3 linked regions of the Xenopus tropicalis genome follow. The protein of the gene in region 2 interacts with the protein of the main gene of each other region in a biochemical or structural test. Links are inferred from orthologs where the notes say so. Each region holds a gene or a part of one and is shown on either strand. Other genes may lie near its edges. The genes, in order: plg, thbs1 and lrp1.

The links.
Region 1: the proteins of thbs1 (region 2) and plg form a complex in vitro, tested with the Homo sapiens proteins (2 studies listed by BioGRID). The link is inferred for Xenopus tropicalis from reciprocal best matches to the Homo sapiens genes THBS1 and PLG.
Region 3: the proteins of thbs1 (region 2) and lrp1 form a complex in vitro, tested with the Homo sapiens proteins (3 studies listed by BioGRID). The link is inferred for Xenopus tropicalis from reciprocal best matches to the Homo sapiens genes THBS1 and LRP1.

What each region holds. Positions count from the first base shown.
Region 1 is NC_030681.2:60,080,816-60,084,467, reverse strand, and holds part of plg (plasminogen), read right to left. Parts: intron 1,571-3,652; coding exon 1,422-1,570; intron 813-1,421; coding exon 716-812; intron 232-715; coding exon 111-231; intron 1-110. UniProt on the Homo sapiens protein: Plasmin dissolves the fibrin of blood clots and acts as a proteolytic factor in a variety of other processes including embryonic development, tissue remodeling, tumor invasion, and inflammation. In ovulation, weakens the walls of the Graafian follicle.
Region 2 is NC_030684.2:119,060,270-119,064,420, reverse strand, and holds the start of thbs1 (thrombospondin-1), read right to left. Parts: upstream 2,916-4,151; 5' UTR 2,757-2,915; intron 1,510-2,756; 5' UTR 1,489-1,509; coding exon 1,422-1,488; intron 1,020-1,421; coding exon 442-1,019; intron 174-441; coding exon 98-173; intron 1-97. UniProt on the Homo sapiens protein: Adhesive glycoprotein that mediates cell-to-cell and cell-to-matrix interactions.
Region 3 is NC_030678.2:139,399,987-139,404,269, reverse strand, and holds the start of lrp1 (prolow-density lipoprotein receptor-related protein 1), read right to left. Parts: upstream 2,884-4,283; 5' UTR 2,481-2,883; coding exon 2,390-2,480; intron 1-2,389. UniProt on the Homo sapiens protein: Endocytic receptor involved in endocytosis and in phagocytosis of apoptotic cells. Required for early embryonic development. Involved in cellular lipid homeostasis.

The sequences.
Region 1 (3,652 bases), on a different chromosome or scaffold from region 2:
TATCTGTATAATTATTATTCTGGCCCCTCTTTGTTCTATTAATTTATTGTTCTGCTGTACAGTGCTGCATACATAAGTACGACATTGCATTACATACACATGTAGTGTACCTTGTACGAAGACTTATTTGCCATGGCCAAGAAAATGGAATGGCTTCACATCCACCAACAATTCTCCCAAAGCACTTCCTTTGCTTTTTCTTTGGTTTTCCACATTCAATCCCAGTTGTCGCTGAAATGACAAAAAGGTCACTAAAGCATTACAAAGAAATGTCCGGACGGTACCCTCCAAGGTGCCCTGCTGGCCGCGCCCCTCTAACCCCATGCAGGGGCCCCCATCACCCGCCCAACATCCTCCCCTGAACGCGTGTAAGTAAAACACATCAGGAGAGGACACTGGTGGCTGGGGGACTGGTAACAACAACTGAGTCTGGACCGCCAGGGCCCACCAGGTTTTTTCGGCCCATTCCGACCCTGAACATTAATCAGAAGGCATGGTTAATCTGCAAAATAAATGTCTGGTGACTTTAAATATGCTACACAAAGGGCAATTAATTGGGTAAGAATGAGACCTTAATATAGCACAACCTAAATACTGTTATAAAAGCTGCTTCATTGTATGTCAATACAAATCTTCAGAATTAAAGCAAATTAGGTAATAGATATATTTGATTTTTCATTTTTTAAAACAAGTTAGTATAGAATAATTCAATTACCACAGCGAGGGATGTCACAGTATTCCCACTTAACTGTACCAGGAGTCGTTACAAAGCACCATGGTCCGTTAATATCTCCATCAGGATTTCTGCAGTACTATGTAAAAGAAAACACATTAGTTAGTGATTAATATTGCTGGTATACATTAGGTCTCATTCTTTATATCATGCTCCCCAAAGTAGTCTTAAGTATTTAGTGGTTATCCATCCCTCTGTAATACAGTACCTATGGGATGTAATTATGCTGGGGTGGGTTGGGGTGGAAAACAAGTATACTGTCCTAGATTTTCCTAGCACTATGGGTAAATGTCTGATATACCAGTATCTTTCTAAATCTGTAACATTGTTATAAGGTAAGGGGAATCCGGCAAGGAAGTCTTGAACAATATAAATTACAAAAATAAAGTGTCTAAGAAGTTTTAAACTACTACACTTTCCCTGGTATTTTTCCTCTATTTGAGTTCCCGCTAGGATATAAAATACTAACACACATAATAACACATGCCTACATGCTCCCCCTGCCCACCCTCTTTGATTGGGGCAAGGCCTAATGCAGGCCATATTTGATTCAAAGCTCAGTCCACAGGTGCACAATGGCGTGCAGAGGCCTAAAGACATAATGTATAAATGATGATATTGTTATTCTGAGATAATAAGCTATTAAGGAGATAAAAAAATTGCTTTTAAATGCAAATAAATATCTTACATTGCTTTCTAATCCAGATTGTGGATGAGTAATTGGAGTAAAACTTGCATGTTCTTGTGGTGATTGGGAACTCCATGCTTGGCATATATGTCCATTAAGTGTGGTTGACTTTATGCCACGATAATCTTCACCTTTGCTTACAATACAATCTGGAAAAAAGAGACATTGTTTGTGGCATTATTTATGATGTCTATTACCTAACAATACAGGTAGTTGAAATGAAGAAGTCATTTGGACGTTTTGAAACGTTTTCATGAACGTTAAAAAAAAAAGTTTAAAAAATAATGTAATATAGAAATAGTAAGCAAACAGCACTAAGAAGTCAGCTTCCATAAAACTATATAATAAACTGAATGCCCTAATTGTGTGATTCTCTGACAACTGTGTATTTTAGTCAGCAATGACTCATTGGGTGTGTGGTAAAGGAGAGATCATACAAGTGCACAAGTCACTATACAGTAAGTGGATTTTATTGGTTACTTTTTAACACACAATCTGTATTAACTTAATATACTATATAGTTTTTATTTAATGTGCAATTCCTTGTAGTGCTATTACTTTTATATCAGACTATGGACTCCTGCACAGATGGGATGATTCAGAAAGCTGCAATTCATTAATTGGATATAGCACATTTGTTTGTTGAAGATCACGTTTTAGCACTGATCAGTTGTTTAACTGTATGCCCTGCCCTGTCTGTGTGCCTGGCTGCCCCACTCTGCATGTGTGTGCCATACTCTGCCACTTTCCCTGTTTTTTTTCCTCTATTTGAGTTCCCAATAGGATTTAAAATACTAACACACATACTAACACATGCCAGAATTTGTTTGTAAGGGGGTTGTTTAAATATGTGCCGGGGGGTTCTGTGCTACCCACAGGGTCAAGGAGCCATATGGATTTAAGGGTATGTTTTAATATGATATAATATAATTCTTTCACATATGAGTAAATGGTAATATCCCTGCAATGCGCACCAATTATTTGGTTTTCTGGTGTGCTACTCAGCGCCGGATTTTTCCTTCCGGCGCCCCTAGGCCACCCCCGTTGGTCTCCCCTAAGCCCCCACCCCGGGGGCGCATGCGCAAGAATTTAAAGTCCAATACAGAGCAGTGGGGAGAGGTCCCCATTGCTCTGTAAGGGAGCCAAACTTACACATTTTATTGCGGCGGGGCGGCATGCCCCTAAATTTGTGCCGCCCTAGGCCCGGGCCTTTGTGGCCTCACCACAAATCCGGGACTGGTGCTACTACCATTAATGTGGGTATGGTCTTAAAAGTTCTTGTGATAACATGGGTGTGGCTTAAAGTAGGTGTGGTTTAAAAGGGAGTGGTCAAAATTGGATTCTATTATCAGCCCACCACCACATAGGTAAAAAATTCTGGGCCTTTGCAAAGTATTTGCAGTAAATATATTCTAGTAGAAAAGAAACAGCTGATCCTGTGTCATGCATCAGGTTAATGGAGTATCCCTTGTCAGCAGAAACAGTACTGACATAAACAGTGTCATATAGCTTGTCTAAACCATGTGTAAAGTTGCTACCCGTGGCTGTCAGACACTTACTATTCTCACCAGCAGGTGCAGGGCCTTTTGCTGAAAGAAGCAGGCATCTTCACACAATTGCAGTGAACTCAAACACACTTTAATAACAGGCATTTCTCACAGAGAGGCAGACATAAGACAGAGCTCTAGTTGCCAACAAAGGATGATAATAATGTACAATACTTCTGCAGATTCTCTCCCTCTTAATCTACTTTTCACACACATCCAACATTTCTCACCAAAGCCTCCAGGACCGCTGTCCCATCTGGATGCAACAATAGAGTGCCATTAGCCATTTCAGGGGCTCCCTGCTCACTAGGGATTGTTACCCCTTCCTCAGGAGCTCTACCCCTCTCTAAGCACCCCTCATTTGGACAACAGTCCTTGCTAACTTTCCCTCGCTACCTTTTACTCCTGGAGTGAACTCACATGCCACTGCTGCTAGCTAGTCTAGGTATCAACCCCCCAAATAGGTCTGGCCACAACGTCTCTGCCACGGCAGGCTTGGATGATTTCTTGAAGAAGCATAATAGCCAAGATTATTTGATACTAAAATCTACAATTAGTATTGAAGTTGTTGTATGTGAGTGTAAAGTAGGTTGGTATGCGCCTATGTCTGTGCACTGGGGTTCACTTGGAAGGGTGGAACTTGATGGACCTTGCTCTTTTTTCAACCCAACTTAAATATGTAAC
Region 2 (4,151 bases):
CTGCTGTATCTCACTTGAGTGCCACCTGTAGGGTTTAGCTTTGTACATATCTGCTAGAAAGTCACAGAAGCACTTTCACGGAATGAGTTCAACTTACTGCTTGAGCAGCCTTTGTTTCTCAGAATAGCTTCCAATGTGGTTCCAAACACAAAGCGTACATTCTGAAGGACTCCCTGGCAAGAGAAAGAAACCATTTAGATCCCCTTTGCTAATTGGGTTACTTTGATTAAGAGCCACTCTGCTACACCTATTCAAAGAAAACTTACTGATTTTTACAAAACATGAGGGATTAGCCCTCATTCTGCTAGACATATAATTCTGTTACCATTCTTTTTCGTGATACACATCACAAGAATCATCAATCATGCCTGCTCAGCCAAAGACCACTTCTCAATATCTTTTCACTTAAAAGGAGTCTCAGGTTTACTTGGCCCTACTCACCTGAAAGTTGTCCTTTACTCCTCCCTTTGCTACTCGAAGATGAGCTTTGCTTGCCAGGTCCTCAGTAAATATTTTCTGTATTGGCACATCTAGCTCAGCATTTTCCATCTTGTCACATCCTACATAGAGCTGTGCGCGGTCATCTTGTACAAAGAGGGTGATGTTCTTCCAGTGGCCAGTAGCTAGGAGAGCATCTTCTACAGACACCACCTGCTGCTTCCTTTCTCCACTTAAACTTAAATCTAGGGTTCCAGCCCGGCCATTGGAGATCAGACTGAAGATGTGCCCTGCGCCATCTTTTCTCTCCACAGACAGAAGTGCCCCTCGACTTTTCTTTGCTTGACGCAGAGTCGCCAACAAAATGAACCCCCTATCAGCACGTATTGCATCCAGCAAATCTTGAAATTTGACTTCTGGCAGTGGTGGGATCAAGTCAGCATCTTCAATTCTATAAGCTGGGCTTGAAGGGTCAGGTCCCTTTACTAAATGGAGTCCTTCAGGCTTACGAGAACCAGTTTTGCGGTTGTATCCCGTTAACTCAAACAGATCAAATACACTGTTATCATCATTCCCAGATTCTGAAATGGAAACATATGCAGAATATCTAAGTTTGATACAAAATTTACCCCCAGAAGCAGCCAGAACAAGTTCTTTAGACTTTATGTAACAATCAAGCCCTGGAGAACCAGGAGGTTCTCTCATACAATATACAGTGAGAGTCAGTGGCATGATTTCTAGTTGGCCTAATATATGTGTTTAAATAGGGGAAAGTGACACAGATGTGGATGTTTTAGTGCAATTTAGATGAAGGGACAATTTGCACCTACAGACTGGACACAAGTAATGATTCCCACCTCTTCGTACAAAGCCCCATCTCTACATTTACTCTGAGTTTCTACACATACAAATTGTAGGACAGTGATTACTTAAAGAGAATATAATATATAATATAAGCGTTATATCAGTTTATTCCTTCTTACCTGCTGCTTGATATGTTTGAGGCACGGCCAACATCAACAGTAGGAAAATGCCCTTCATCATCCCCATGATGGAGAACTTCAGTTACTTCTGAAACAATTTAAGGTGGACACCTATAAATATATATCCACTACCATCAAACCAGGTATCTACTTAACAGTTTAGGCAAACCCTCAGGGAGGTGCAGTTCAACAGTAGCTAGGGCCCCACATATTGCATATCTCTGGTCACACACAATAGCATTTAACCTTTTCAATAACACAGTGAGTGGTATATATCTATTCAAAGCACCAATAATAGACCTGTCTGTAAATACACAGTACTAATTACACCTAGTTGTTGATCTACGACTTCTGAAGGTTTGCCGGTGGATGCTGGGAGTTATAGTTCAACAACAGGTCAAGGTTTGCATTTGGACCCCCAGCCTTCTGGCATTGCTAGGGGCCCCTTGGTCTCGAATTCCACCTTTAATTACACCTACATACCAACTTGCGTTGTCTGTAATTGCATCTATACATTAGCTTTTCATCATGCTCATGGAAAGTAAGAGAATTGCACTGGCGTTGTAACATTAATAAGCATAGTGAGCATTCCTTTATGACAAGTTTCATAAAGCTCTTGGTGTGGCTTGTAATAACCACTCATTTACATTCCACAGGGATGGCACAGAAAGGGAGATCTATAGCTGGGGGGCAAGCAGACAAGCAATTTCAAACCACACAACCACCTCTCCCTGTATATTAAATTAAACAGAAAGGGAACCTCATCACCTGTTATTCAAACAATAATTCCAAAATATCAGCAACAGCACCTCAGTAAGGCAAAAAAGCAAATCCAAACACCTTGCTTGTAATCAGGGACAGCGCTAAACCAATATAATTAACACATACAGTGCCAGGCACCTCCAGCTGCGCCAGGGGATGGCGTTATACTATCACAAGTGGATTTAAAATGACACAAAGACCATCAGCTGCCAGTAATGGGTATGAATTAGCCACAAGTCTTACAGTCATATACTAAGGCAATCTGAATGGTAAATTCTATAAACTTACTATAAGAATTAACATTGCAGAAAAGTTTAAACCCAACAATTTTAAAGCCAAGGGCTAACTCCCTAATACAGGTAAAAGCATCATGCACTAAGCCAGAATCACATATGCCATGGTCCTCAGCCCCATGTAATAAGCTCATGCACTAATGAATTAGATAAGCAGAAAGAAGTGTAATACATCCACAGGTACAGGCTGGAGGCACCCCTATGGTACATGGATGAGTTAGTCCATACAGCAAGAGCAGCAGCACTGGGATAGCAATGGGAAGAAAGCATCTCCTCTTACTCTTGTCCTTATTCTCTCTCTGCTCCTCTGGTGAGGTGAGTCCGCTCCTTGCTGCTGCTGGTAGTGGGGCTAATAGCGCCTAGTTGGTAGGAATAGAATACGGAGCCCTTAGCTGCGCCCAACAGCTCACTGTGCGCTCTGATCCCCGGACAGCGCTCTCCCCTTCCATATAAAGCGGCTGGCACATCCCAGAGAGCCTCCCCCAGCCAATCACAGGCCGAGCGGTAGGAAACGGGCTACTGTTTATTCTATGAGCTCACAACATGAGGGAGAGACACAACTATCGCACAGCGAATATTCGCCGCTGACGCACGCTAAGGAATTTCTAATTGACTCTGCGCCAAGTTCTTTTTTTTTTGTATCAATTCAAGAGATACACAGGAAAGGCATGCAAGTGTATAACCATATATATCCATATATATACATATACAGTTATACACAAACACTGTATTTTGTACATGGAAGGTGATCACTTTTAATAACTATCGGGTTTTTTCTATTTATCACCTACTGGCACTTTTTCATATGCTGAACGATAGGGATTTGATTCTTTTATGCGTAGTCTAAGCTTTACTTTGTCTTTGTTTTACTCTGCCTATGGAAATACAGAATATCTATCTATCTATCTGTCTGTCTGTCTGTCTATCATCTATCTATCTATCTATCTATCTATCTATCATCATCTATAATCTATCATCTATCTATCTATCTATCTATCTATCTATATCTATCTATCTATATCTATCTATCCATCTATCTATTTATCTGTCATCTATATGTCTTTCTTTCTTTCTCTCTTTCTCTATCTAGTCTTAGCCTATATAAGTCTATATAGTTTTGTTTTACTTTGCTTATCACAATACAAAATCTATCATCTATCTATCTATCTATCTATCTATCTATCATCTATCTATCTATATGTATCATCTAGCTCTCTCTATCCATATGCCATCTATATATTATCTTTCTTTCTTACTTTCCTATCTGTCTGTCTGTCTGTCTATCTATCTATCATCTATCTATCGATCTATCTATCTATCTATCTATCTATCTATCTATCTATCTATATCTATCAACATCTATCTATCCATATGTCAACTATATATCATATTTCTTTCTTTCTGCTTTCATATCAATCTGTATCTATCTATCTATCTATCTATCAATCAATCAATCAGTCAATCTATCCACAGCTATATCTGCCTGTTATCTATTTATTATTATTTGTAAAGTGCCACACGCGTTCTTTATTTATTATCTTACTATTCCGTATATATTTATCTATTATTATCCATTAAATCAGCTACTCTGTTTTTTCTCGATCTATTTATCAGCCTGTCTCCCTAAAGGAACTGTCTTTTACCCCTGTCCCTGTATCTGCCCCTATGTCTGCCT
Region 3 (4,283 bases), on a different chromosome or scaffold from region 2:
TTAGAATGTCAGTCTTTTATAGTAATTGTATAATTAAGGTCGGCAATTGATAGTAGCTATCGTGCTAACTGATAAAGCCCCAAGCCAACGGTACAGTAGATCGCGGCAATATGGACATATATGAGAAAATTAGATAAAACCAACAAGCCTAGCAGTCCACTAGTTGTTATAGGTGCAAAAATAAATCAGGGCTCATTGGAGCTTCTATTACACAAGTGCATTCAGTTGCTGTTCTATGATGCTGTTATTTGTTCTGATCTTGACCCAGTTTTGAAATCGCTATCAAGGGGGGGGGGGGGGGGGGAGAGAAACAAAGAGGACAAAGTGGCCAAAGCTTATTTTTCATAATACAGGCATGGGATCTGTTATCCAGAATGCTTGGGAACTGTGGTTTTCTGGTAAGGGATTTTTTTTTAGAGCTCCATACCTTAAGGGAGCCCATACATGTACCGGTACCGATATTACCATACAAAACAAGGTTTGTAACGTGTATGGCCATCTTAAGTCTACTAAAACATCACTTAACCATTACTTATTAGGATTATTAGGAAGGGTTTTTTAAGCTTAGTTACCATCAAGTACAAAGTTCTGTTTTATTATTACAGAGAAAAGGGATTTTTTTAATCAGAATTATTTGCTTACAATGGAGTCTAGGGGAAATATCCTTCTCATTATTCAAAACTTTCTGCATAAAGGGTTTCCGGTTAACAAATCCCATACCTGTACTGCTATCTTCTTCAGCAACAAGCAGCTTACAAGCAAACACAATATGTGTGTGTGTGATGTGTTTACATTTCATACACCAGCAAAAGTCCAAATTTAAAGCCGATTTTGGTTACTGCGTTGGAATATTTGCCGGAATCTTTAGTACTCAGAATGGATGAGGTGGAGGGGAAAAAAAAAAAGAAGTTAGCCAAATCCATCATAGCAAGAATGAGATCATGCAGCGGACTCCTCTAACATCTGGCTCGCAAACAAGACCCTATCCAATGAATCTCCCCTTCTGTCCCTGCCTGTGTTAAATGCCATGTCACGCACTGGAGGCGCACTGCAGCCCCACTGTGTAGAGAGGAAGCCGCTGATGTGGTTGCAGATGAGGTTTGCAAATAGCAAATGGAGATGCCTTCACAATGTCAGCCTTGTTTCCCTCGTCAACAACCCTCACCGTTTCCAAGTGATGCCATTAAGGAGAAAAAAAAAAAAAAAAATACACAGAATCAAACGCCATACTGTTGACAAAGAAATATACCATAACATTCATGCCCACTGCTTCTGACACGGCCCCTTTGTACAAGGCTGCAGAATATAAAGGTAGCTCACATGCCACTCACACTGGGCCTATGGACATGCATATTTCATATCCACCTAGATTGCTTTTCTGCATCACTAACTCACATACAGGCTAGCACTACAATTTCTAGGATGGGATTGGGAGCACTGGTTTAACCCACACAGGCACACATGACAGCATTTCCAAGGGGAAGAAATCCCAGAAAGCAATTCATTGTGCAACCTGGGTGAATTCAATTGGATTCAATACAATGCAAGAGGCAAAAGGGTTGAGTACAATTTCCACACGACCACAAAAAAAAAAAAAGTAATTCTGTATAGATAATGAGAAATTGGCTGCGTAAATAGTGTTTATAAATAGATAGCACGATTGTTAGATGGCAAGCCCATACGTCAGATGCGTTATAACTAATCAATAAAAAGGGATAGCCATTGATTTAATGAGATACACACACAGGCAGGCAAGAGAAGGGCTGATTCCCCCCCACCATGTGTGGATCATTTAGAATTTCCATCCATTATGAAACCACACAGAGCAATAGAAAGAAACCAGAGCTGTGTATGGAAGCTTTGCAATCAGAGGGGCCTATTCCTCAAACCAAATTTTTGCAATGACTGAAGAAAAGACCCTCACTTGGCCAGAAACAAAACAAATCACCCCTCCCCCTCTGGCAGAAAGGGGCACCTCTGGAACAGATTAGATCCAATTGCTACAATATAACAAGACAGTTCCTAACATTGCTCTATTTCATCTGAGGAAGAAACCTCGTCACAAACTGAAGTGGCCTGCAAAGCCATAACGGTAAGGGCCGACCTGGGCACATACACTACAGGGAATTCTGGGAAATGTAGTCGAACCTTATGGTATGAATGCGGCATAGAATGTAGGAAACGGAATATCGCTCAGTGTCAGGGCTGAATAGGTGTGTGTGTGTGTTACAGACAGCCATCCTAGCGTTCCCATTCCTGAGAGTGCGATCCGATTTGCAGGCCTGCAGTGAGGGATGTCAGCACAGAGAAACCTTTACCCCATTCCCCCTCTGCCCAGTCCCGAAGCCGCTCGGTTACAGGCGCAGCACAAAGCAGGACTTCTACTCACCATCGTTGACAGAGGTCGCAACAACGTGCAAGCAACAATACAGTAATCCCAATGCGATTCCAGCTGCAACATCTGTCCTAGGAGACGGCATTGTGGGGGGAAAGGACTAGCAGGGGTTAAGGTGGGGAGGGGGTGCCTTGATCCAGTGCTTGGCCCTCGCCTGGCAGCCTCCCTCCTCCTCTTGATGCCTTGATATCCAGACGCCAGTGGCCACAGAGGGGAAAAAAGAAATCACCCAAAAACGTGAACAATTAAAGGAGGGAAGGTGGGGAGGCTGAGGCCAGCAGCAGCAGCAGCAGGGCTGCCAATGGGCTGCACACTCTCTATTCCAGTGCTGGGAAGGGGTTGATAAAGGGGAATGGGGGGGTTGGAGTGAGGGGGCATATGCAGTCCTAGCGATTCCCCTTCTCGCCCGGCAATAGCTGCAACCTGACTGGATATCCCCCCTGATTATGAGGGATTGAGGAATCCAGCAGTGTTATTAATGAGAAGGGGAATGGCTGGGGAGAGACTATGTGTGGGAGGGAGGGGAGGGAGGGGGCGTGTCTTGTACGGTTAGCCCGCCCCCACCAGCTCTTGGGATAAGCAGGCTGCGGCTTTACAAGGGGGGCGGGGGTGGTCTCTAACCTGTGGCTTCAATGTAAAGCTTAGTCAGGGCCTGTTTTAGGGCCATTTGCCTGGGGTCCCTGCACAGTATTGATAAAAACACATAGAAGATAATGACAGTTTGTCTGGTGTATAATAGCGATGTTCACCCTGCAGCTTTCAATGTCATTAGAGAATTATAGTTTAACAAAAGCCGGAGGGCTGCCGGTCGGTAGCTCCTCTCAGATTCCTAGGGACCCTTTTCTAACTCTGGCCCTGCAAGTGGGTTCCAGCTTCATTGGCACTTTGGTTCATTTGTAAGTGGCAAAGATTCAATTAACTAGAAAGAAATCAGTATAGCATAGGTCAATAGGAGCCCTATCGCCCTATGTAATTGTGTAACTCTCTCCTGGCTCCTTTTTCCCTGGTAATAGTGCCTTCTGCCCAGGAATCCCCTGTCCCCTCCTCCCTGCCATTCTCCAGCATTCATTCTAATGCTCCAGTAGCTGATGTTTTGTCTTCTGTTCAGTGGCGGAACTAGAAGTTACTGGCCCCACAGCAAAATCATTTCAGGGTCCCCCTAAAATGTGGGAATAAGGCATTTTTTTTAAAAAATACTACTTATCTTACTACTTATCATTCAGCGCCTCACTGGGGCCCCTATATATTCTGAGCCCCCAATAGTAGCTATAGAAACTGCAGATACAGGAGTTGTTATCTGGAAATTTGTTATCCAAAAATATTAGTGCCATTTCCAATAGTGTCCTATATAAATATATATTTGTATACAATGGACTTGCTTTTTCTATAAGACAGTGCCTGACGGTATTAGGGGCACTACTGCCATAAAGCTGGCTAGGAAACTCACCTCAGGTGGCAGTGCCCTGAGCGTTACCAAGGGTTGAGTAAAGCCACTCCTAGTGACATAAGGAGATGAAATTCTGATTCTGAGTTGGCTCTTCTATTGCACTCTTGCACTAGCAATGCAACCCCCCCGACCAGCTCTGTCAGGAAAAAGCAGCATTGACCTGGCCCCCTCAGGGTGGCACTTAACCCTGAAACAGCGTTGGGCAGTATGCTTTATAAATCCATGGAGCAAATAACCAGTATCAGTATCAGTAATCAATACTCCTGGGCAACACTGTTTTGCAATGAATACTTGCCACTTTTAATTATAACGGTTGTACTTTTTGGGCATATAGAACATGCCTATACTTTTTTGGCGGGAACACACTTTAAAAAAAGCTTATATAAAACATATATATTTTTTCACTTTTCTAGAAAAATGTTCATTAACCTAACTATAAAT